4 linked regions of the Schizosaccharomyces pombe genome follow. The gene in region 1 interacts genetically with each later gene. Each region holds a gene or a part of one and is shown on either strand. Other genes may lie near its edges. The genes, in order: rik1, ase1, lsk1 and clr3.

Region 1 (6,707 bases):
TGTCAAATTCTCCTTGAGAATGTCGAACGATTCCCGAAGAATCCGATTCCACCATATTCGCAGATGCTAGACGCTCTTGCTTAGTAGCAACATCTTTTCCATACTTTAAGGATATCCAACAAAATCAAATAACGGGCAATGCCTTTTTGTATTAAATTGTAAGCTACGCAATTTGGTATCTGATTTAAGGATACGTAGAACTGCGGTGAGTTTTCCTTGTGATCTATTATATTACAATACACAGGTTGTATAAGTAGCAACTGAGTATAGGTATTGTATTAACTGAGTTATAATGTTACCTATCACTAATATAGCTCATAACTGAACTGAGGAACGAGGTTCAGCAGTAGCTCTATTTATATTATTCAGATAATATAGATCTTAATAGATTATCATTAAGATCAATCTCAATATCGTATCATACATGGTACGATATATAATTAGAACATGTGACATATAGTGATACGCAACGTAGATGATGCGATGTCGAGATTGATATTGATAATACTATATTAACAGATAGATTATTTGGATAGAATCGATAGAGATACAACTAAACCTCATTTCGCAGTTCAGTTATAAGTGATAGGTGACATTATAACCTAAATAGTACAATACCAGTACTTAGTCATTACTTATATAACCCGGCTATTATAATATAATGGATCATATGCAAAATTCACCAGTTTTTCGTATCGTTAAAGCAGATACCAAACTGCGTAGCTGACATTATACGGCGTTTTGGATACTGATCTACAGATATGTTCCTATAGATATTTATGTAGGTGATTTGAATGGTATTTACATATAAATTGGTTTATTAAATAGCTTATATTTAATTAAAGCTAAATATTGAGAATAATTTTAATATCATATTCTTGACTGAGTACATCTGAGGATAATCATGAAATTCTTCCTCGGTGATCAGTAAACAATGCTTGACTGTTGATTTCCAATATGTAACGTTCAACGATACTTATCATTGTATAGATAGTGAATTTGTAGTATAATTTACTATGTTCCTAATAGTTGAGCGTATCATGAACGAAATATGTCAAAACGCTTCCATTTTAAAAAAAAAGGAGTACTGATGAAAGCAGTAATTGGATTTGGTAAAAAGTAATATAGAAAGTTTTTTAAAAAACTATTTTATGTTTAAGAGACCTTTCAAAAGTTCATGACCATTTCTACGAGAAACTAATCTTTAGTCCAACCTTCGTAAATCTCGCTTATATTAAGCTTGATTTTACTTCGGTATTTATGGATGACGCGAACACTAAACTGGTATAGAAAAAACGCTATTACTTTCAGCATCTAAAGAAAATCATTTATGATAATTTCTATGCTTTCAATTATATCTAAATATTTACATGCTCAATCATTCAAAGCGATGCTACAAAAATATTATGTTTTAGTTGTCGACTCGAATTTCAGTAAAATCCTAACTTTATTGCTAGACATCCGTAGGTTTTCATTTATGCTATAAATCTGTGAATCACCTCGTGATCGGCAAGTTGTTAAAATAATCTTTTAAGTAACTCTAATACCATGCACTATAGTAAAGAAGGTATATATTTCTTTGCGTGCCTAGTTCTTGTTTTCAATAGCAATAGTCGTTATCTCCCATAGCTTTTAATTCTGCTCATCGATGAGAGTAACATATTCCAATATCTTCTCTACATTATCAAATCGTTTTGCAATTATAAAAATATCAATAGCTTTCGATTTCCCCCAATATGGCTAATGCTAAAATTTATAACATTGATGTAGAATTTGGCTTAGTTAAGATGCAAGTTGAAAATGTCTTATGTTTTATGATTATCAGAAAATGTTTTGTGTAGTATCTGATATTAAAAAATGCATATCAACTTTTACAATAAATTCGCTTGCGCAAAATGTATAGAGACTGCATATCTCGTTTCTTCTCCCTGCGGAGTGCCTGTAACTGGCGTCTTGCACTTTCATTCAAAATCGAAATTTTTTGGTAAGGATTTGATAGAGATTGTCACTTGGTAGCATATTTTTTCTATCTTGAATTCCTTTTTCTAGGCTTTTGTGGCTCTTGGCCGTCCACTCTTTATTTTTGTATTCAACTGTTTTTTAATCACATAAGTCTAGTCATAATCTTTTGAACCAACTCAAAGCTTCTTTTTTTTATTTTTTTCTTTGTTAAAAAAAGTCTTTATTCCTTTTATTATATCAGTTTATGGATTTCATCGTGTATGGCTTTATGTGTTCATTCCTTCTGGGCAACGGCGGTAGACACAGCGACTTCATGTCATTTTATATCATCTGAAAACTGCTTAGTTTTATTACAAGCCTTAAAAATTAATATTTATCTCTGTAGTGAGGTTCATGGCTTACAATTCTTTACCTCTATCCCTTTATTTTCTACGGTGAAACATATACGCCCATATCGCCCTCCAGGATTAGATAGAGACTATTTATTTGTAGTTCTCAATGATGATACTTATTTTTCGATTTATTGGGACGAGGATTATCAAAAAGTGATCGTCGACCATCCTCCAGTTCGCTATCGAGTTACATTTCCTTGGAATCGCAACGCGAAAAGCTACTGCCTTGTCGACTTAAGGATGCGTGCTATTTTTTTAAGCATTGACGAAATTTCCATGATATGTATTAGAATCCTTTCTGCCGAAGAACGGTTGAAAACTGGCCGTTCTATAGATAGCGGATTTCCTTTTTCTTTTCCAGTGCATCTCATATATGATATGTGCATTCTCAATGATTCCAGTACCCCAACTCTTGTGGTCCTTCACAGCGATGGCTTAGATTGTTATGTAACAGCTTTTCTTTTAGATTTAAGCTCAAAAAGTTTGGGAAAGGGGATTAGACTATTTGAGCGGGTTAAACCGTCAATGATCATGCCCTTTGGAAAAAGAGGTTTGCTGGTTTTTGAGAGTTTGTTTATTCATTGCATGTATCGCGGTAATTTTGTTACAATCAATGGTCCTTGTACTACTTATATGCATTGGACTCCTTTGAAAGGGCAAAAGATGCATTATATTGTTTGTGATACTAATGGATATCTTTTCGGAGTATATTCGAGTATCTTGGGAAAAAACAAATGGAGCTTGGTTATGGAAAGACTACCAATCCCACCTTTCGACTTTATTACTTCTCTAAATTCCATCCATGAGGGACTCTTGTTTATCGGAAGCAAAAATTCGGAATCTAAACTTATTAACCTGTCTACTTTGAAGGATGTTGACTCAATACCCAACTTAGGACCCATTCATGATTTACTAGTACTCAAAAACGACATTGAAAAAAGTTTCCTTGTATGCGCAGGAACACCAAGAAACGCTTCTTTAATTTATTTTCAACATGCTCTGAAATTAGATATTTTAGGGCAGACGAAAATCTCGGGCATCCTTCGAGCTATGGTCCTACCATCATATCCAGAGCATAAGCTCTTCCTCGGGTTTCCTAGTGAAACTGTTGCTTTTAATATCAAAGAAGATTTCCAGTTAGAGCTAGACCCATCTCTATCAACCAAAGAAAGGACGATTGCGCTTTCAGGGACGAATGGTGAGTTTGTACAAGTCACATCTACTTTTCTTTGTATCTACGATTCTGCAAAGCGCTCTCGTTTAGTTTATATTGAAAAAATCACGAACGCTGCTTGCTATCAAGAATACTCCGCAATCGTTATCAATGGAACAGCATTGGCAATATTTAAAAAAGATACAGAAGTTGCACGAAAAGTTTTTGAAAGTGAAATTTCTTGCCTTGATTTTTCAGCGCAATTTCAAATAGGAGTTGGATTTTGGTCTAAGCAGGTGATGATACTTACATTCTCAGATAATTCGTCAATTAGCTGCGCCTTTCAAACCAACGTTCCATCATTGCCCAGAAATATTATTTTAGAAGGAGTTGGTGTTGACAGAAATCTTCTTTTAGTTTCTAGCGGAAGTGGTGAATTTAAATCTTATGTACTTTTCAAAAATAATCTGGTATTCTCTGAAACAAAACATTTCGGTACAACCCCTGTATCGTTTAGGAGATTTACGATGAATATTGGTACCTATATCATATGCAACAATGACTGTCCACACATGGTATATGGGTTTAATGGAGCACTATGTTATATGCCGCTTAGTATGCCTCAAAGTTATGATGTGTGTCAGTTTCGTGATAACTCAGGGAAGGATTTTCTCATTTCTGTATCATTAGGGGGCTTGAAATTCCTTCAACTTAATCCATTGCCAGAATTGACCCCAAGAAAAGTACTTTTGGAGCATGTTCCGTTACAAGCCATTATTTTTCAAAATAAACTGTTGCTTAGAACACTCGAGAATAGATATGAAGATTACGAAAGTTACAAGGAAAATTATCACTTGGAGTTGGTCGATAGTTATGATGATAATTCGTTCAGGGTTTTTTCTTTTACCGAAAATGAACGTTGTGAGAAAGTTTTGAAGATTAATGAGAGTTCTTTACTTGTAGGAACAAGCATTATAGAACAAGATAAGTTGGTGCCGGTAAATGGAAGATTAATTTTGTTAGAGTTTGAAAAGGAGCTTCAGTCTTTGAAGGTAGTTTCGTCTATGGTACTATCTGCGGCCGTGATAGATCTGGGGGTATATAATGATCGATACATCGTTGCATTTGGGCAACAAGTTGCAATCGTTAAACTTACCGAGGAAAGGCTTATGATAGATTCTAGGATATCACTAGGTTCTATAGTTTTACAACTCATCGTAGAGGGTAACGAGATTGCTATAGCGGACAGTATTGGACGTTTTACGATTATGTACTTCGATGGCCAAAAGTTTATTGTCGTTGCCAGATACCTTTTTGGAGAAAACATTGTGAAAGCAGCATTATATGAAGGAACAGTTTATATAATAGCAACTAATAGTGGCTTGCTAAAACTTCTTCGTTATAACAAAGATGCAAAAAACTTTAATGACAGATTCATTTGTGAAAGTGTGTACCATCTGCATGATAAAGTTAGCAAATTTCAAAATTTCCCAATAACAAATACCAATTCGTTTTTAGAGCCAAAAATGCTTTTTGCAACGGAAATTGGTGCTATTGGGAGTATAGTATCATTAAAAGATAAGGAGCTAGAACTGGAGGAACTTACAAGAAAAATTCGAAAATTAAAATTTTCATACTTGTCATCTATGGACTACGAAAGTATAGAAGCAGACCTCATTTCTCCAGTCCCGTTTATTGATGGAGACTTGGTTATCGATGTCAAAAGATGGGCATCTTCAGAACTTTTCCGATTATGCAGAAGTGTAGAACATAGGGAATCACTCAATTCTTACCAAAAAGTTCAAGCCCTCCTTGAGGAAATACAAAGTTTATGTTAAACGTATTATTGCCTTTTTGCTCTGAGTTATTATCTTACACTTTATGGATCATTGCAAATTTGGAAGTTTGGTTCTAGGACTGTATTATGCATTTGTGAGTAATACAAAAAAAATCTTTTGATTTATAATTATAAGTCACAAGCTGTCGCAACATGGCACTGATAAATACAAGTACATAAAGCTTGGTTAAAAAGTTATCAGTCTCAATTTCTTTCGTAAAATCTTCTTCGAAATTCAAGATATTTGTCATAATTGTTGCATCGCTCATCTATCTAAGACGAGATGACATATATTCTGGATTTCAATAATTAAAATGAAACTATTAAATTTCATATGACAGAAACTGAGCACTTCAACTGGCATAAAAGCTCAAAGGAATTTTTTAAGCTAAAAAATTAAAAAAAAACTTTCTCCATTTGGCGATCACGTGTTGCCAAGTATTTTTGGAGTGTAATTAAACTGGAGAAACTCTAGTGTAATTTCTCTATAGGAAGCTAGGGTCAGAGGAAATTAGGATCTTAAAAATTGTTAGTAGAATAAAACATGAACTAAATGCTTACCTTTGGCAAGCCACTTTTTGATTTGATCTTCAGTTTATGGTCTTTACAGGGGATGGTTTTCTGAGTAAGAATATCTGTAAAACTTGAAGGCACTTCTTTCCAGTGTTCTTTCAAATCTATTTCAACTTTAAACGACGAGGTAGAGCCTTCATTGCTTATGGCTATAATGACTCCTGGACGAGTAAATACATAAACTGAATCGTCAATGTATAGTTGAAAAGATAGCACGTATGTAAACTCTGGGTAGGTCTCAACCAAATTTTGACGCGTGCGTATCATTGAAGAAAGATGTCTAAACATTGGATTGGAAGTATTGTATTTACTTTTCCAAAGACCTTCTCTGTTGTCAGGATCGCTACCACCGTCAAACATCTGTTCTTGTCCATAATAGATAATTGGAATACCGTCCATGAAAATAAGTGCAGTTAATGCGTTAAGAGCCAGCTAAATAAATGTTAAAATATATAAAAAATGCAGGTACTAAATTGAAATATTGTTCAATAGACTTACGGCGATGTCTTTGGTTTCATGAAAAAAGCGAGGAAAATCATGATTTTCCAAAAAGTTACACAAGACGGTAACATCTTTGAAGTAATGTCGAACATCAAGTACGGCCTTATCATAAAATGAAAACATAGAATGTTTGGGGTCAAGAAAGGTTTCCCGCAATTGAAAAAATAAAGGGAAATTTAAAGTCGAAGGGAGATATTTTTGATAATCCCCGACGACTTTAGGATCTCCATGAAAAACTTCTCCTGTAGTAAATACATTAGCTGCTTCAATAAATGTTGGGAAGAAGGAT
Region 2 (5,313 bases), on another chromosome or scaffold:
TGTAAAAGCCAGGAATTTTGGCTAGTGCTTTTAGCCTGCTGAAGTTTCATCACCCGTGAACGTGTGTAATTTAATTGCCTTCATTCGATAATCAGTTTTCACATTCTTTTGCTGTAAAACGAGAACTAGAAGCAATTGAGCCTTTTATTCGTCTTTTGAAGGCTTTAACGTTTGTTTGTTGTATTTTTAGAAAGCTCGAAGGTCGTATAGCTTTCCAACATTGTAGCTTCTAATTCACTTTATGAACTGCTTTGCAATTAGAAACCGGTAGGATTTGATCAATTGGCTTTATATATAGGCGCTATATTTTCTTTCTTTTTACATTTCTTTCTATGATGACTCGGATGGAATTAAGACCATTGGAAATTGGCTTCTCTAAAGCACTCACAGAAGTAGCTCCGGTAACTTGTCAATGCGAATGTTGGGATCATAATCTTTGCAGCTCTCAAGCTAGTGAGATGGATTTAATTTATCAGTCTCAGGATACCCATTCTTGTGCATCAAAGCAAGACGCCGTTTTTCAGTTGCTGAGTGAAACCAAGATCCCTGTTCCCAATCGTTATAGAAAAATTTCACATCGCTTGAGTACTCTATCTAATAAAAAAACTCTTAAATCACAATTAGATCGTTTTTTGTCTTCGTCCAAAAAATTACACAATGATGATGTTAATAGAGGTGATTACTGCTTTCTTCTTTCTACACCTGTCGAGTGTTCTGCTTCTACCAACTCTCATTCTTACGACTGTTTGTGGAATTTTTCGTGTAATTCATTCCCTGAATACTCCTCCTACTCTGCTTCGGAAACGTCTTCAGTCGCTTCTTACTCTTACTATTCGGGGCCAAATCCTGCAACTCCCAGCTCTTCCTCTTGTAACCTCGTAAACGCAAATAGCCTTGATATTTACTTGAATATTAACAACTTAAAAAAATCCAAATCTGTTCCTCGTTTAAGAGGTCAATGTATGTTCTTTTAAGATTTTTCAACCTTTTCTCTTATCTTTTATTTATTCATCGTTGCTAACAATATCATAGTTATGGAGCCCGTAGAGCATAACCATCCACTTTCTAAAAGTCTTGAGGAGCAATCCTCTTTTTTGGAACAATCAAAGGATGCTTCCTCTAACTTGACCGCCTGCAATAGGAGTGGCTCTAGTTTATCATCTAATTTCTACTCATCTAGGTTGTCCAAAAAAACATCTTTAGCATCTTTAAATAAGTCTCGAGCTTCTTTACAGCATAAAATAATGTCGCTATCTCGTAATATCATCAGACGTGTATTTCACAAGCCAGAAGTGCATTTGGATCCAAGTGCCTCCATTTTAAATCTCTCATCTTCGCATGGCGAAAGCAACCTGACAAATGGTTTGCTTTGTCAAAATTTCAAGCTTTTTCAGGATGATTGGTTGATGGAGGATTGTGCGCCAGATGCCAATTTCACTTTGTACACCCCGCTTCAACCCTGGGAAAAGCGAAGTGTGAAACCTGAAATCAGACGTCCTCGATTAAATCCTAATTTTTTCCGAGTATTTGTTTTAGAAGCTCAAATGCGACGAGCTGGAAAGCTATCAGCAAACACTGCTGGCCGAGCCCAGTTAATTTACCTCCCAAAGCCTGCCGTTACCTTCTCCACTAGCCCTTTGCATGTTGAATTGTAAAAATTTAACGCATGACTTATATACATTTGCATTCTTCCAAGCTGGTTATATTTATTTTCATTTTTTTCTCACCCAATACTTTTTTATCCCTACTGTCTTTATGGACAATCGACTCACAATTGTTTCTTTTTGTTGTATATGATTTTTTTTTTAAAGGAAATGGGTTTCGCGATACTGGGTTGAATCCCAATTGCGGTTAATATTACATAAAATAATTCTCCCATAGTCCTAGATCCTGTCTTTGAATATGAGCAAATAAAAGAATTGAACAAATCATGAATGCTTTTCTCTCTTAGATGATATTTTGTATGCATAAGTCTAATTATATTGATTACGATAAGACTTAAAAAGTAAGCCTTTGTATCCTTTTAAGCAGTATTTGAATTTTCTTGTATCATATTTTAGGTAGAGCAAAAGATACCAGTTTGTAGAACTTTATGTGCTTCCTTACATTGGTATATTTCAGGCACATAAATATTCTTCAACTTACAATTCTAAGTATTTTGTTTATACTAAAAGGAGCTGAATAACGTTTATACAGTGCTGACATTGAAATCTATTTGCTTTCTTTGGAATATAAGCGCATGCTGAGTTACTTTCGCAGGCCAAGCCATATCCAACCACCATTTTTGTGCCAAGCTTTTATGCAAGGTTAATTCCTTGTACTGCTTGTTATGTTATAATATATCAACATCTTAACAGTTTTCATATCTTCCTTTATATTCTATTAATTGAATTTCAAACATCGTTTTATTGAGCTCATTTACATCAACCGGTTCAATGCAAACAGTAATGATGGATGACATTCAAAGCACTGATTCTATTGCTGAAAAAGATAATCACTCTAATAATGAATCTAACTTTACTTGGAAAGCGTTTCGTGAACAAGTGGAAAAGCATTTTTCTAAAATTGAAAGGCTTCACCAAGTCCTTGGAACAGATGGAGACAATTCATCATTATTTGAGTTGTTTACAACGGCAATGAATGCCCAGCTTCATGAAATGGAACAGTGCCAGAAAAAACTTGAAGATGACTGTCAGCAAAGAATTGATTCAATCAGATTTTTGGTTTCCTCATTAAAGTTAACGGATGATACTTCTAGTCTCAAAATTGAGTCTCCTTTAATTCAGTGTTTGAATCGTTTGTCAATGGTAGAAGGACAATATATGGCACAGTATGATCAAAAGTTAAGTACGATTAAAGGTATGTAATCGTCTTTAATTTAGACTTGTGTTTTAACTGATGTATAGAAATGTATCACAAATTGGAGTCATATTGTAACCGCTTAGGAAGTCCGTTCGTTTTACCTGATTTTGAGAATTCATTTTTATCTGATGTATCCGATGCTTTTACTGAATCTTTGAGAGGACGCATCAACGAAGCCGAAAAGGAGATTGATGCGAGATTAGAGGTTATTAATTCCTTTGAAGAAGAAATTTTGGGTTTGTGGTCTGAACTCGGTGTTGAGCCCGCTGATGTTCCACAATACGAACAATTGCTTGAATCCCATACTAATCGACCAAATGATGTTTATGTTACTCAAGAACTTATCGACCAACTTTGCAAGCAAAAAGAAGTTTTTTCCGCTGAAAAAGAAAAGAGAAGTGATCATTTAAAAAGTATACAATCAGAAGTTAGCAACTTGTGGAATAAGCTTCAAGTTTCTCCCAATGAACAAAGTCAATTTGGCGATTCATCAAACATTAATCAAGAAAATATTTCATTATGGGAAACTGAACTTGAAAAACTTCATCAGTTAAAAAAGGAGCATTTACCCATTTTTTTAGAAGACTGTCGTCAACAAATTCTTCAGCTTTGGGATTCTCTGTTTTATTCAGAAGAACAAAGAAAGTCCTTTACACCTATGTATGAAGACATTATTACAGAGCAGGTTCTTACGGCCCATGAAAACTATATAAAGCAACTAGAGGCCGAAGTTTCTGCTAATAAGTCCTTTTTAAGCTTAATTAATCGCTATGCCTCTTTAATAGAAGGAAAGAAAGAGCTTGAAGCTAGTTCTAATGATGCCTCTCGTCTAACACAACGGGGACGCCGGGACCCAGGTTTACTTCTACGTGAAGAGAAAATCCGTAAGCGACTTTCTAGAGAACTTCCTAAGGTTCAGTCGCTGCTTATACCAGAGATTACAGCATGGGAAGAAAGAAATGGAAGGACGTTCCTTTTTTATGATGAACCACTTCTCAAGATTTGCCAAGAGGCCACTCAACCAAAATCATTATATAGAAGTGCAAGTGCTGCCGCAAACCGCCCGAAAACAGCAACTACAACGGACTCTGTTAATAGAACACCTTCTCAACGAGGGCGTGTAGCTGTACCTTCAACACCAAGTGTTAGGTCCGCTTCTCGAGCTATGACGAGTCCAAGGACACCGCTTCCTAGAGTAAAAAACACTCAAAATCCAAGTCGTTCCATTAGTGCAGAACCGCCATCAGCAACCAGTACCGCCAATAGAAGACACCCCACTGCTAATCGAATTGATATAAACGCTAGATTAAACAGTGCTAGTCGGTCTCGAAGCGCGAACATGATAAGACAAGGGGCAAATGGTAGTGACAGCAATATGTCTTCTTCACCCGTTTCTGGAAATTCCAATACCCCTTTTAACAAGTTTCCAAATTCTGTATCTCGCAATACACATTTTGAATCCAAGTCACCGCACCCAAATTACTCTCGAACTCCTCATGAAACGTATTCAAAGGCTTCATCTAAGAACGTCCCATTAAGTCCTCCAAAGCAGCGTGTAGTTAATGAACACGCTTTAAATATTATGTCGGAAAAATTGCAAAGAACTAATCTGAAAGAACAAACACCCGAGATGGACATTGAAAACAGCTCGCAGAACCTTCCTTTTTCTCCTATGAAGATATCCCCCATAAGAGCATCACCCGTAAAGACAATTCCATCATCACCGTCCCCCACTACCAACATTTTTTCTGCTCCACTCAACAATATTACAAATTGTACACCGATGGAGGATGAATGGGGAGAAGAAGGCTTTTAAGCTTCTTATTTACCTAATCGATCAAATTTAAATATACATATTTTTGCATATGAATACAGCATATAGATAATTCATAAAAGTTTATTAACTGAGGTCATAATTAAAAGACTATTTACACCTAAAAAAAAACGTGTATCAATAGAGGGAAAAGAGAAGAATTAAGAACAGAAAGTAACCATAGTTTTGTTAAAATAGCAATGTAAAAAAATATTATGAAAAGAAAACGTATAGCACATTTTGAAATGTAAAAGAATCTGAGAGAGCGTGTGAATATCTAGCAATTACAAGAAGATGTATTATTCAAAGGCTTTGAAAGAAGCAAAGGTTCAGAGAAGTCATTAACAAAGTCATCTCTCGAGCTTTCATTTTCTAAAGCTAAACGACTGACTGTTTCGAAAAGGTCAGTAACGTTTGTATTTTCTTTTGCACTAGCTTCAAAATGAATCATATTTGATCCATGTTTGGATTTGCAATAGTCAAGAGCTCGATGAAGAGATACGGCTCGTTTAGACGCGTCTTTGTCGATTTGATTTCCAACGATAATGAAAGGGAATGCACATTCATCTTGTGAAGTTTGATATAAAAATTCTTGCCTCCAGTTTTCTACTGAGTCAAAAGACTTCGAGTTATTCACA
Region 3 (5,764 bases), on another chromosome or scaffold:
AACTATATCTACTTTAAATGGATTAAGGCTCCACAGTGCGATTCAATATAACATTAATTAAAATGCACTTGGCCTGTTCATTGATGGCCAAAAAATTAAATATAATTTGGTGAATTTAACTCCTATATAAAAGTTTTGTTTTTTCAAGCCTAAGGATATCGTTGAAGCTATTGCTGTGGATTACCGATGTTAGACTAAATAATAGTTGACACCAATTCGATTTATTAACAGTTTATAAACTTTCTCCCTACATAGTCTTCTTTCTTCGATAATTACTTTAACACATATAAAATGGAATTGTAAATATACTAAACGAAACGATAAGACATAGCCAAACTATGAAGGAATTATGCATATAGCATTTGAATAAATTAAATACTGAAAGCTAAAAGAGCTGCTATAGAGTACAAACTCAGATTCTTATATCGCACCTGTGATGAATAAATGTTTGAAGAAGCGATTTTTATTAACGAAAATATAACATAATAAAAGAGCTTATTTTTTTTGCTTTGCTTTAAGATATTAGAAGTACTCTACTTTTACCCCATATTAAATGTTGAATAAGAAGATATGGTTTTCGCATTTGAAAGCACAACGTCCATGTCTTTTCGATTAAGATTCATTAAGTATTATTGGTGAATATAATTGAGTGCAAGGGACTCTCTCGCTGAATTTACCATATGCAAATATATCATAAATCCACAGAAACCAGTATAGGATGTCCGTTGAATAAGGAAAATTTTATTTAAGTCTAACTCTGATAATACGTTTTGTATGTCAGTCAATTGAATATAAGTGCAAATTTTTATTTTTTTAATGACCTATTTATTGTAATAAAATCACGTTTCTTTGTTAAAATTGCACAAATTGAGTAAGCTATATAAATATTTAGAATTGAATATATACATATGAAAGCAAACATTTGGTCGTAGGATCCTTGTACACTTGAATTTCTATGATATTTTATTATTTCATATTAATTATGCTTACGTTTTGGAATTTTTATAAAAAATTATATCGTACTGGTAGTAGCCGTTTGTACGATCATCTACCTTTTTATTTTTTAATTTCATTAAACAAATTTAATTTATTTGTTTGCATTTTTGAAAAAAAAAACTTATAAAAAATCAATTATGCTCATTTAGCTTTTTGCAATGATTTTTTTTTTTTTTAAACATTTAGTTTAACTAATGAGACTATTATTTAAACAATATTGCACCAAATTTATGTCAAAATCATCACTCTTAAAATTGAATAAACAACAGGAACAGAATTCCATGAGTTATTCATCTTGAAGCTCTTGACCTAACCTTGTTCTTTCTAAAACCAAGCATTTTTGTTTAATTTTTAAAAAAATATTATTGATTAATTTAGCTTTGCAAACAATTTGCACACAATAGATTTTGAGAGGCTGAATATGAATTTTTAATGTTTTGAAGACTGGCGTTCTACTAGAACGTCCAATGTGATAACGTTATACTTATGAAAGGATGTAAAACTTCTATATACAGTAAAATAATATATTCCCTCCTACCTTACATGTAAGGGTTGCATATTATTGATTATTTTACTTTGTATTCTTTAGACTCACGGAAAACACTAATTTATGGTAGAATATTAATTTCTCATAAATAATATTATTTTAAACGATTCAAAACTAATAGAAAAGCTCAGACTTGCCTTTATCTAGTCGACATTTGATTCCTTTGGTTTACTATCGCCAATGGCAATTTCCAAGGATCCATGCGGATTACCAGATTTATCTTCATCGCTTTTTAAAATGTTAAATATGAACTTAATATAATTCAGATGAAAAGGTTTAATCCAATAATATTATATGAATTGAGAATAACTGGTTGGACTTAGTTAATAGTTAAAAGACCATCTTAGCAAATGGGGAAGAGAAAATGGCTAAGAGTTAAGCATTGAATAAATACATTATTTACTTTGATTTCTATAAAACAAGCTGATATTCATCATAGCCTCAAATTACTTATTATTTTAAGTATGGTGTGGTAAAGGAATTGAGTCGCGCGCGTTTATTTCTATTTCTACTACACACCAACAACGAAGTTTACCTATCGCCCCTTGATTAAACTAGTGGACTTGCAAACTACTTCATTCATTGTCATAGAAGAGGAAGAACTAATTTATTTCTGTCTTTATTAAATTTCGAGATAATTGGTGTTTTTAACAATGTACATTTTGAATTGATAGATCAAAGAAATCAGGAGTGCAACTAAAAGAAAATTACGGTATATTTTTTTAAGCTGCAAGAGTTGATACTTAAAAGTATTTCCTAATTTTGTGGATACTCATATTTTGTACATTTACGTTTCAATAACATTTCTGCAACCGACTTATTCACAAATCTCTGGTTAGATTTCTCTATTGATTGAAAAGGTTTGTCTCACGTTCACCCTTCATAGTTTAGCGGTGAAAAAAATCTCCACTCTGAAAATTGTCCTTTCTTCATTTATTAGATTGCATGATTTATTTCACTGGATTTAACTAGCTTGTCTTGGCAGCTTACCTTTTATTTCCCTTGTACGATTTTTTTCCGGTGAAGTTGTATTTATTGTTACATAAAAACACATTTGGCCGTACTTTAACGATTAATTTCTTTTCTTTTATTCCCATCGAATTTTCGCTCACAGATTGCGTGTAATTCTCTTCATTGTTTAGGAATATTCCTTTTTTTATTTTTTATTTTTTTTAACCCTGTTAAATGTCATACTCGAAGAGTACAATTTATCGCCGACAAGGCACAGAACCAAATAGCCACTTTCGGCGTACCGTCGAAGAAAAGTCTCAGCTTTCTGGTACAAATGAGGAGTCTTTAGGAGGCCACACCCTGTCCTCTAATGCTTTCAAAAATAATTCATCTAGTATATCGCCATCCTCATCTGCGAAGGATCCTCGAGAACAGCGGAAAAGAACATTTCCTCTCAACGATACACATTCTTCCCGAGCAAGACAGCATGAAAGACCTTTTCGTTCTCGAAAATCTAGAAGGAGAAAGGGTAAAAAGGCATTCAGTCCTAGACCTGGCTCACCTCCATCACCTTCCTTTTACCGCTCAGGTAGTCAAAAACGAGCACGTAATTTAACTACCAAGGATTACTTTGCCAAACGCTCTGAAAGCTCTTCTAGCGCCTCCGTCTCACCTATATCACCGTCCGCAAACAGAAATGATTCAAAAAGGCAAGCTTCTTCTTTTCGAAGGTCTCCGCCTAGTTCTGTACATATGAAGCCTTCAGCTTTTAACGGTCGAAAGGTATCGCGGAGACCTTCATCTTCTCCTCCCCCTATTCCTTCTATCCCTCATGAAACTACTTCCTCCGATACACAAAAAAAATCTAGCGTGTCTTCTGGCTTTCCAGAGAACAAACATGGAAAATTTCACTTTCATATACCTAATGAACGCCGATCTCGATTCGATCAACCTCCTTCGAAACGTATGGCACTCACGTCCACGGCCCGTGAGTCTGTTCCAGCTCCTCTTCCTTCTCCTCCTTCCGGCCCAATTTATACATATACATATCCAAAGCCTGCCTATGAGAAAATCGACCAAATTGGAGAAGGAACTTATGGTAAAGTATACAAAGCCATTAACACAGTCACAGGAGATTTGGTAGCTTTAAAACGGATAAGGCTGGAGCAGGAAAAGGATGGTGTAAGTATAAAAATCAAGCTCGTAACTAAATTGACTAACTTTCTAGTTCCCTATAACTACTGTCCGTGAAGTCAAAATCTTGCAGCGTTTGCGTCACAAAAATATTGTTCGGCTATTAGAAATTATGGTGGAAAAAAGTACGATTAAATACTGTCCTCATTCACCGTTTAATTATAACTAGTTCTAACATTTTAAAATTCTAGGTTCTGTATATATGGTATTTGAGTACATGGATCACGATTTAACTGGAGTCTTACTAAATTCACAATTACATTTTACTCCCGGTAACATAAAACACCTTTCGAAGCAAATTTTTGAAGCATTAGCTTATCTTCATCATCGTGGGGTGCTTCATCGTGACATTAAAGGTTCTAATATATTACTGAATAACAATGGTGATCTAAAATTCGCAGATTTTGGTCTGGCGAGATTTAATACATCTTCGAAGTCGGCTAACTACACTAATCGCGTTATTACCCTTTGGTTTCGACCTCCAGAGCTATTACTTGGAGAAACTGCATATGACACAGCCGTGGACATATGGAGTGCTGGCTGTATTGTTATGGAGTTGTTTACAGGAAAACCTTTTTTTCAAGGGCGAGACGAAATCAGTCAGTTAGAGGTTATCTATGATATGATGGGTACCCCTGATGTTCATTCTTGGCCTGAGGTGAAAAATCTTCCTTGGTATGAGCTTCTGAAGCCAGTAGAGGAAAAGAAGTCGCGTTTTGTTGAAACTTTTAAGGAGATTTTAAGTCCTGCCGCCATTGACCTATGCCAAAAACTCCTTGCCCTAAATCCCTTTTGTAGACCGTCAGCTCATGAGACCTTGATGCATGAGTATTTCACTTCTGAGAGCCCACCTCCAGAGCCAGCAGTCATGTAAGTATAAAATTTATCGTTGAATGATATTTATCTAACTTATGTGTTTAGTTTGAAAAACATGCAAGGAAGTTGGCATGAATGGGAAAGTAAAAAACGAAAATCTAAAAGATAAATGAGCCAGAAAATTTTGTCAAGGCGAAGCTATGCAAGCTGGACAAATGTTTAAAAAAAATAATCTTTATATTTCATTTAATTTCTTTGTCTCGCTTTACTGCGGTCTATCTTCTATATATTTTGTTAACACTAGGCAGAGTAACAAATTTGTCTGATGCTGGACAACTTTTTTTCATTTTTTGCTCTCTTTTTCTTCCGAAAAAGATGAAATAAGAACACTAATAGCTCATGATAATTAAATGTTCCACTGGTTTATTTGACTATTATAACTCTTTCACCTTTTAAGAACTTAGAAATCAAAGGCTTGAAGTCTTGAAATGAGCTTGGTACTGTGTACAAAAAAGATAAATTCAAAGGACTCGTATGAATTTATGATGTGGTTTTCTTTTAATCAGTCAACCGTAGTAATAATAATTTGTTTACATATACTTTTTAATAATGTTAAGGTGCAGATGTTCTCAAGAGCCTGCTCAAATATTTAGTAATGATGATTTAACAATTAAGAGAGCAAAAATTAAGTTACTATTTGAATGCGTAGCTTAAAATTGATCAAAGTATATCTACGGCTTTTACAATAGTGTGATGGCACGGATATCACATTCCGCATTGCACTGGACCACACTATAAGTCAACACTGAACTGATCGAGGAATAGGTAAGCATTCCCCTTCTCCTTTTGATCAAGAACCATCATTATAACAAAAAAAACAAACACAAAAAAAGTCGATGTCATTGTCGGAGTATCTTCGTGAATTCGCTGAGATTTTTGAGGAAGCTGCACAAGAATTAACCTCAATATTCGAACTACCTCCTGACCTGTTGAAAGATATTACTGAAGAGGATGTTGGGACTGATGACTCTTGTAATAAGAAATTCCTTGAAGTTCAAAAGCAAAAAGAAGATGAAGAAGATGAAGAAATATTGAAAGGAGTGGATTTAACGCAGCAAGATTCCGTACGTGAAAAAATCCACGAAATACAATCGATGTCGCAATTGAGTGAGAAGAGAAAGGCCTTACTTATGCAGGTAAGTACATGAAATTAATCATAAAAGTGAGATTTAAATGAAAATAAGATTACTAAACTGGCTT
Region 4 (5,170 bases), on another chromosome or scaffold:
CTTCTAGGCAAGGGAGATTACAAGATTTCTACCAGTTGCTAACACCTTGACTTGTGAGTTATTGCGCAAATGTTTAGTGCTATATATAATATAGGATCAAGTCGTTTTATTAAAAAAAAAAAAAGCCAGCCTTCCTTAATAGTAAAGTTGCTACATTTACAATTACTGTTGACCGGTTATCATTCATGCAATTTGGATTAGTTAAAAAAGTTGAACATCACAGAATCATCCATCATTCATGAAGGTCGTACTGGGAATCGAACCCAGGTCTCGAGAATCAGAATCTCACGTGCTAACCATTACACCATACAACCAAATCAATTTTTTTGTGTGATATAGTTATTAATATTGGAGAATAAGAAAACAATTTAAATGCTGTTTGTACTATGAATCTAATTTTACAATTTAAACAACATACTATAATATTATCCTTTTGCGGTACAAAAAATGGATGAGGGATTTCCCTCAGCTTTAGAGAAATGCTTTTAAGCAAAATTACGACAAAAATCAACAATAGTTGTTTGAACTAAAATAATATCACGGATTTGAGGAGCTTTATTTTATAAAACAATATTATAACCTTATTTATTTAATTATATTGAACATGAATAAAATGAAGCCAGCAATAACAATAAACCATTTGTGTATACATTCTACTGGAAAATAAAGTCAAAATCCACCAACCTTGAGAATAATGAGCTCGAATTAAAGTATAAGTAAAAGAGACAAAGCAGCTTAGCAGATTGAGTACGAATCATTCAGCGGGTTTGGCAAATCATGAATGTCCGTTATAAATTTTAACGTAGATAACTTAAGGAGGTTAAATGTGTGACAATTAAAAGAATAGAAAACCATGAAAAAATCATAAGTCAATAACGAATGTTACTGAGAAGTTGGTCGGGCCTTTTGAAGCAAATGCAGCAAGTATTGAGTAACCGCTCGATAGTGTTGCTCCATCATGTCCGAAGTTTCAGTATGTTCACTTTGCATAAGTCGTCCATATCTTCTTTTAGCACGCTTTGCCTTTTTCCAGCACTCATTACTAGAACTCACAAACACGAGTGAATGACGATAATACCACGTTGGAAGATCTTCCTCTGATGCCGTTTTAAGACCCACCAAAGGTTCAGTGCCAAGGAAATTCACCATACACTTAACTCTGTCTGACACATTCCTGGAAGATGCCAAATTAACCAATCCATGTACCGCTTTGCCTCCACCGATGAAAAAAATATTTTTTGAAATCGACAACTCAACATAATTATCCCATACATAAAGACAAAGTTCTTTCACTTCAGAAAGAATGTCAACCGGTGCATTTTCACCGTCCGTAACCACTTCAGGTATATTTATGTCGATAAGCCCCCAGTCCTGTTGCATAGCCCATTCAACATAAAGGCTCACGGGATCTACTAAAAGCGAATCATTTAAATTCAAAACGTTCGTTTCACTAGTTCCATTACCCAGGACTCTAGGAGATTCATGGACAATAACGAGAAGGTTATCTTTTTGAAAGAAATTGCTAGAGCACAGTACTTGATTGTTGAATACATTGGAAACGGAATCCCTTAGTATTGGCATATTGGTAATTTTCCAGTCTTCGAAAAGTTTTTTAGCTTGATAAGTTCGAATAACATCATGTAATCGATCTACATGGGCATCCTTAGGATTTGCGTCGAAGTGTTTCGGCCTCATACATCTCCAGTATTGGGATTGTATTTTGGTTACATGGTTGATGGTAGCAACGGCCTGTGGACATGCATATGTTGTATGCAATCGTCCAGGAGGAATTCCCAACAAACTTTGGGCTACAGCTAAGGCTGATGTGCTTATAGAATCCAAATTATAACCTCCCTCAAGGGAGATAAAAACTTTCCCATCTGCTAATCCCATTAACATTTGTGTCATATGAGCATAGGCAGCTGGAGTTAACAAGAATTGACCAATGTGATCTCCTGCAGCAGCATCAAAGCCGCAACTTACAATAACTAAATCTGGATCAAATTCATAAGCAACAGGCATTACGACGCGCTGAAAAGCGTATATATAATCACCATCTCCCATGCCAGCACAACTCCAAGGAATATTTACAGTTCTACCCAATCCCGGGCCCTCTCCACAATTTTCTGCACACCCATAATTGGTGCCAGGATAGAAACGACCATTTTCATATCGATGCAAAGAAACGTATAGAACATTTGGATCGTCATAAAAAGCCATTTGCGTACCATTTCCATGGTGTATATCCCAGTCGACAATCAATACTCTTTTTATTTTATCCGGAAAGCGTTGTAGCATACTCCTTGCGGTTACAGAAACATTGTTGAATAAACAAAAGCCACCAGGTTTATGGGGTTCTGCATGATGGCCAGGAGGGCGAACAACTGCGAAGGCATTTTTTACTTGACCAGTTACGACAGCCGTACATGTTTCAATTGCGCTACCACAAGCCAATCGAGCACAAAACGCACTTTCGTTATTATAGTATAGAGAATCACTGATTTTTTCGAGATTGGCCAAATCCTCATGAGACATTTTTTCGGTATTAGTAACCCTATCATACATTTCCTGTGAATGAACTTGTAATAACTCTTCTAAAGTAGCTTCTCTAGCCGGAATCCGTAAAAATACATCTGACGGACTCGGCACATTAGATACATAACCGGCCTTCTTTATAGCTTCAAAAACACGAAGGACGCGTCTTGGATCTTCAGGATGGTCATCCACTTCACTTAGAGTGGCATGGAATCTCATTCGAGGATCATAGCATAATCCAGATTTTTTCAAGATTTGCGACATTTCATGGGATTCGTTATTTAATGTATTTTCACTTCCAGACATTGGTTTATTGTTTGTCAAAAGAATAGACCATGGAGTTACCGTGTTTACAGCATCATCGGATGGTTTTACAGAAGTAGATGCACCATCAGAATTAGAGGCCAGCATTCGTTTTCTATCGCCCTTAAAAAGGTCAATCAATTAATAAATTAATAAAAAAATCTCCTATTAAACAACTCCCTCATAAAACTGTCGAAACACTTTTTGAAGCGCGGCTCACTCGATATAGGTAGTTTTGGTCGTCAAAACTGTTGCTGGTACTTCTAAGACATAAGTATAGAGGAGCAATGAGAGAATATAATCTCAACCATGCTAACAAAGGAGTTTGTTTGGTAAAGAATAAAAATGTAAGTAATTAAGACGTTTAGTAAGGCTTTAAATAGAAGATTGATCCTGAACGTATGGAGATTGAGAAAAAATAGAGTTTGTAATGAGGCTCATGGGAGGGTCTTATTTTTATTTATTTATTTATTTTATTTTCTTAGAAACTTAAAAATAGCTTTGTCTCGAGCCATACTTCGAAATGAATGCATAATTTTGCGAGTTCGCGAATTTCCATTATCTTATATAATAATCATTTCAAATCATAAGGATCAAGATGTAGGAAGAACGTTAATAAATACATGGTAAATAATGTTTCTATGATCTTTAAGACTGTTGTACGCCCGGAAACATTCACCCTTTGTCATAAACATCATTAAGCATTATCACAATTTGGCTTGTACATATCAAGCATTTAAACATATAGAGGGTTAATAGCTCATCAACCATAGGACTGGAGACGGATAGCAAGAAATAACAAAACTTCTCAAACGAGATTTTTCCAAAAATTCTTCAGCAGGATGTGAACAATCAATCTATTCATCCAAATTATAGATTAACTCTCATGAAATAATTATGTAATTTTATATCTTAATGCTCGTATACCATCTAAAATGAAGGATGTTATGGTTTTTTCGAAGGCATAGAATTCACCAACGTAAGCATAACTTCAGCTGCCTTGCAATCATCTGCCGATAGGGGATAAGCCGTTGGAAAAGGAAGACTCGTGGACTTGCGAATTCTACTGAGGTTTGCAGTGCCAAGGCGAAGAGACTCATCGGTTTCTTCAGGGCGTGAAATATGGTAATTCATTCCGAACAGTGGAGATTTAGCTGAAGCAGTGGAGGCATGGCTAAGTTCAAATGGCAGTCTGGGTAGCTCAGTATGAGGCTCAACGTAGTTCAACCAAGGAGGACTAGTTCTATCAAAAGACGAGGACGTAGAAGAAACAGCACTAGAAGATGAGTAAGGAGATACAGGCTTCTTATAAGGAAGCTGAGCGAAGCCCTCTCTTGGGCTCACCAATCGCGTAAATGAACTTGCACGCAGCTTGCCTGTATTCGATCCCATAATTGAGTTGGGGTGATGCGGCCTTCTTAGCTTAGAAGAGTCCAAGTCATTGATCGAGCGTGATCTACGATGAACGTGATTTTCCTTACGAACAAGCGTTTCCACTTGATCTAATGTCTGATCTTCCCATCCATGATCGACCTTAAAAAACGCTGCCTTCAAACGAGCCCTAAGTTTGTTTGATAACTTGTATTCAAAAGTTAATGACAATTCGCAACGATTTTTATGCTAAACCAAAATTATTCATCGACGATTCTATTTGTATCGTCGAGATGTTACCTAATTGTGTTTGCGTAATTGACATACCTTGCTTAATGATTCATCGTATTTTTGTTGAATAACTTCATCAGTCTGCCTTGTAGCTTCATTTTTCTTGTGGCCGCCTGCCATGAATTAATATTTGTTGAGTTCGTCTGTATGCAGGTATATAAAAATGACGAGTTATTAGCCTATTCGAATTCTCCTTTCGATAAATTCCTTTTATAATATCCAATTGCAATCAAATAATCCTCCGTATAGCATATAATTGTTTCAATTGAAACAAGACGCGTTGAACGATGTGTTGGTAAGTCGAAAGTCGCGCCTGCCCGTACAAACGATTGAAAAAAGCAACAGGCAGAACACCAGAATTATCAAGTAACAAAACACTCTACCATACAAACAATAAAAACATAAGATTATCAGCCAAAGTTACATGAATATACTGATGTCGGTTATATGCAATTTACTTGGTACCTTTGTCTTTTTGTAAACACCGTTTTCGTCGATGAGAAGTTGCAAATAGACCAAAAAAATTGCATTCAGAAACATAGATATATTCTCCCAATTATTTGGTTACATGACCTTATAGTTGATACAAATCATTCACAAGAGAGACAAAGCTCAAATGCAAACTGTACACAGAAAATAATAAACACATTTTATTTATAAAATATTAAAC

What was found.
Region 2: mutations in rik1 (region 1) and ase1 together harm fitness more than expected from each alone (negative genetic interaction), as found in Schizosaccharomyces pombe (3 studies listed by BioGRID, with this or other methods).
Region 3: mutations in rik1 (region 1) and lsk1 together harm fitness more than expected from each alone (negative genetic interaction), as found in Schizosaccharomyces pombe (3 studies listed by BioGRID, with this or other methods).
Region 4: mutations in rik1 (region 1) and clr3 together harm fitness more than expected from each alone (negative genetic interaction), as found in Schizosaccharomyces pombe (3 studies listed by BioGRID, with this or other methods).

Annotation. Positions count from the first base shown.
Region 1 is NC_003421.2:1,465,952-1,472,658, forward strand, and holds rik1 (CLRC ubiquitin ligase complex WD repeat protein Rik1), read left to right. Parts: upstream 1-1,930; 5' UTR 1,931-2,222; coding exon 2,223-5,345; 3' UTR 5,346-5,829; coding exon of another isoform or gene 5,830-5,862; 3' UTR 5,863-5,905; downstream 5,906-6,707. Other genes in the region: translation initiation factor eIF2B alpha subunit Gcn3, read right to left, coding at 1-55; SPOM_SPCC11E10.09C (alpha-amylase-like protein), read right to left, coding at 5,830-5,862, 5,906-6,349, 6,416-6,707. UniProt on the Schizosaccharomyces pombe protein: Component of the Clr4 methyltransferase complex (ClrC) which contributes to the establishment of heterochromatin by specifically methylating histone H3 to form H3K9me.
Region 2 is NC_003424.3:1,875,927-1,881,239, forward strand, and holds ase1 (antiparallel microtubule cross-linking factor Ase1), read left to right. Parts: upstream 1-2,262; 5' UTR 2,263-2,435; coding exon 2,436-2,859; exon of another isoform or gene 2,860-2,906; coding exon 2,907-4,678; 3' UTR 4,679-4,800; downstream 4,801-5,313. Other genes in the region: SPOM_SPAPB1A10.08 (uncharacterized protein), read left to right, coding at 333-960, 1,033-1,655; GTPase Ypt71, read right to left, coding at 4,953-5,313. UniProt on the Schizosaccharomyces pombe protein: Required for anaphase spindle elongation and microtubule bundling in both interphase and mitosis. Has a role in spatial and temporal regulation of septation and cytokinesis and ensures equal partition of segregating sister chromatids.
Region 3 is NC_003424.3:3,951,743-3,957,506, forward strand, and holds lsk1 (P-TEFb-associated cyclin-dependent protein kinase Lsk1), read left to right. Parts: upstream 1-2,053; 5' UTR 2,054-2,728; coding exon 2,729-3,676; intron 3,677-3,722; coding exon 3,723-3,813; intron 3,814-3,828; exon of another isoform or gene 3,829-3,879; coding exon 3,880-4,558; exon of another isoform or gene 4,559-4,609; coding exon 4,610-4,673; 3' UTR 4,674-5,127; downstream 5,128-5,764. Other genes in the region: SPOM_SPAC2F3.16 (ubiquitin-protein ligase E3), read left to right, coding at 5,401-5,700. UniProt on the Schizosaccharomyces pombe protein: Catalytic subunit of the CTDK-I complex, which hyperphosphorylates the C-terminal heptapeptide repeat domain (CTD) of the largest RNA polymerase II subunit. Involved in RNA polymerase II transcriptional elongation and pre-mRNA 3'-end processing.
Region 4 is NC_003423.3:252,598-257,767, reverse strand, and holds clr3 (class 2 histone deacetylase Clr3), read right to left. Parts: upstream 3,083-5,170; 5' UTR 2,947-3,082; coding exon 883-2,946; 3' UTR 630-882; downstream 1-629. Other genes in the region: cell cycle transcriptional repressor Whi5, read right to left, coding at 3,784-4,458, 4,537-4,620. UniProt on the Schizosaccharomyces pombe protein: Responsible for the deacetylation of lysine residues on the N-terminal part of the core histones (H2A, H2B, H3 and H4).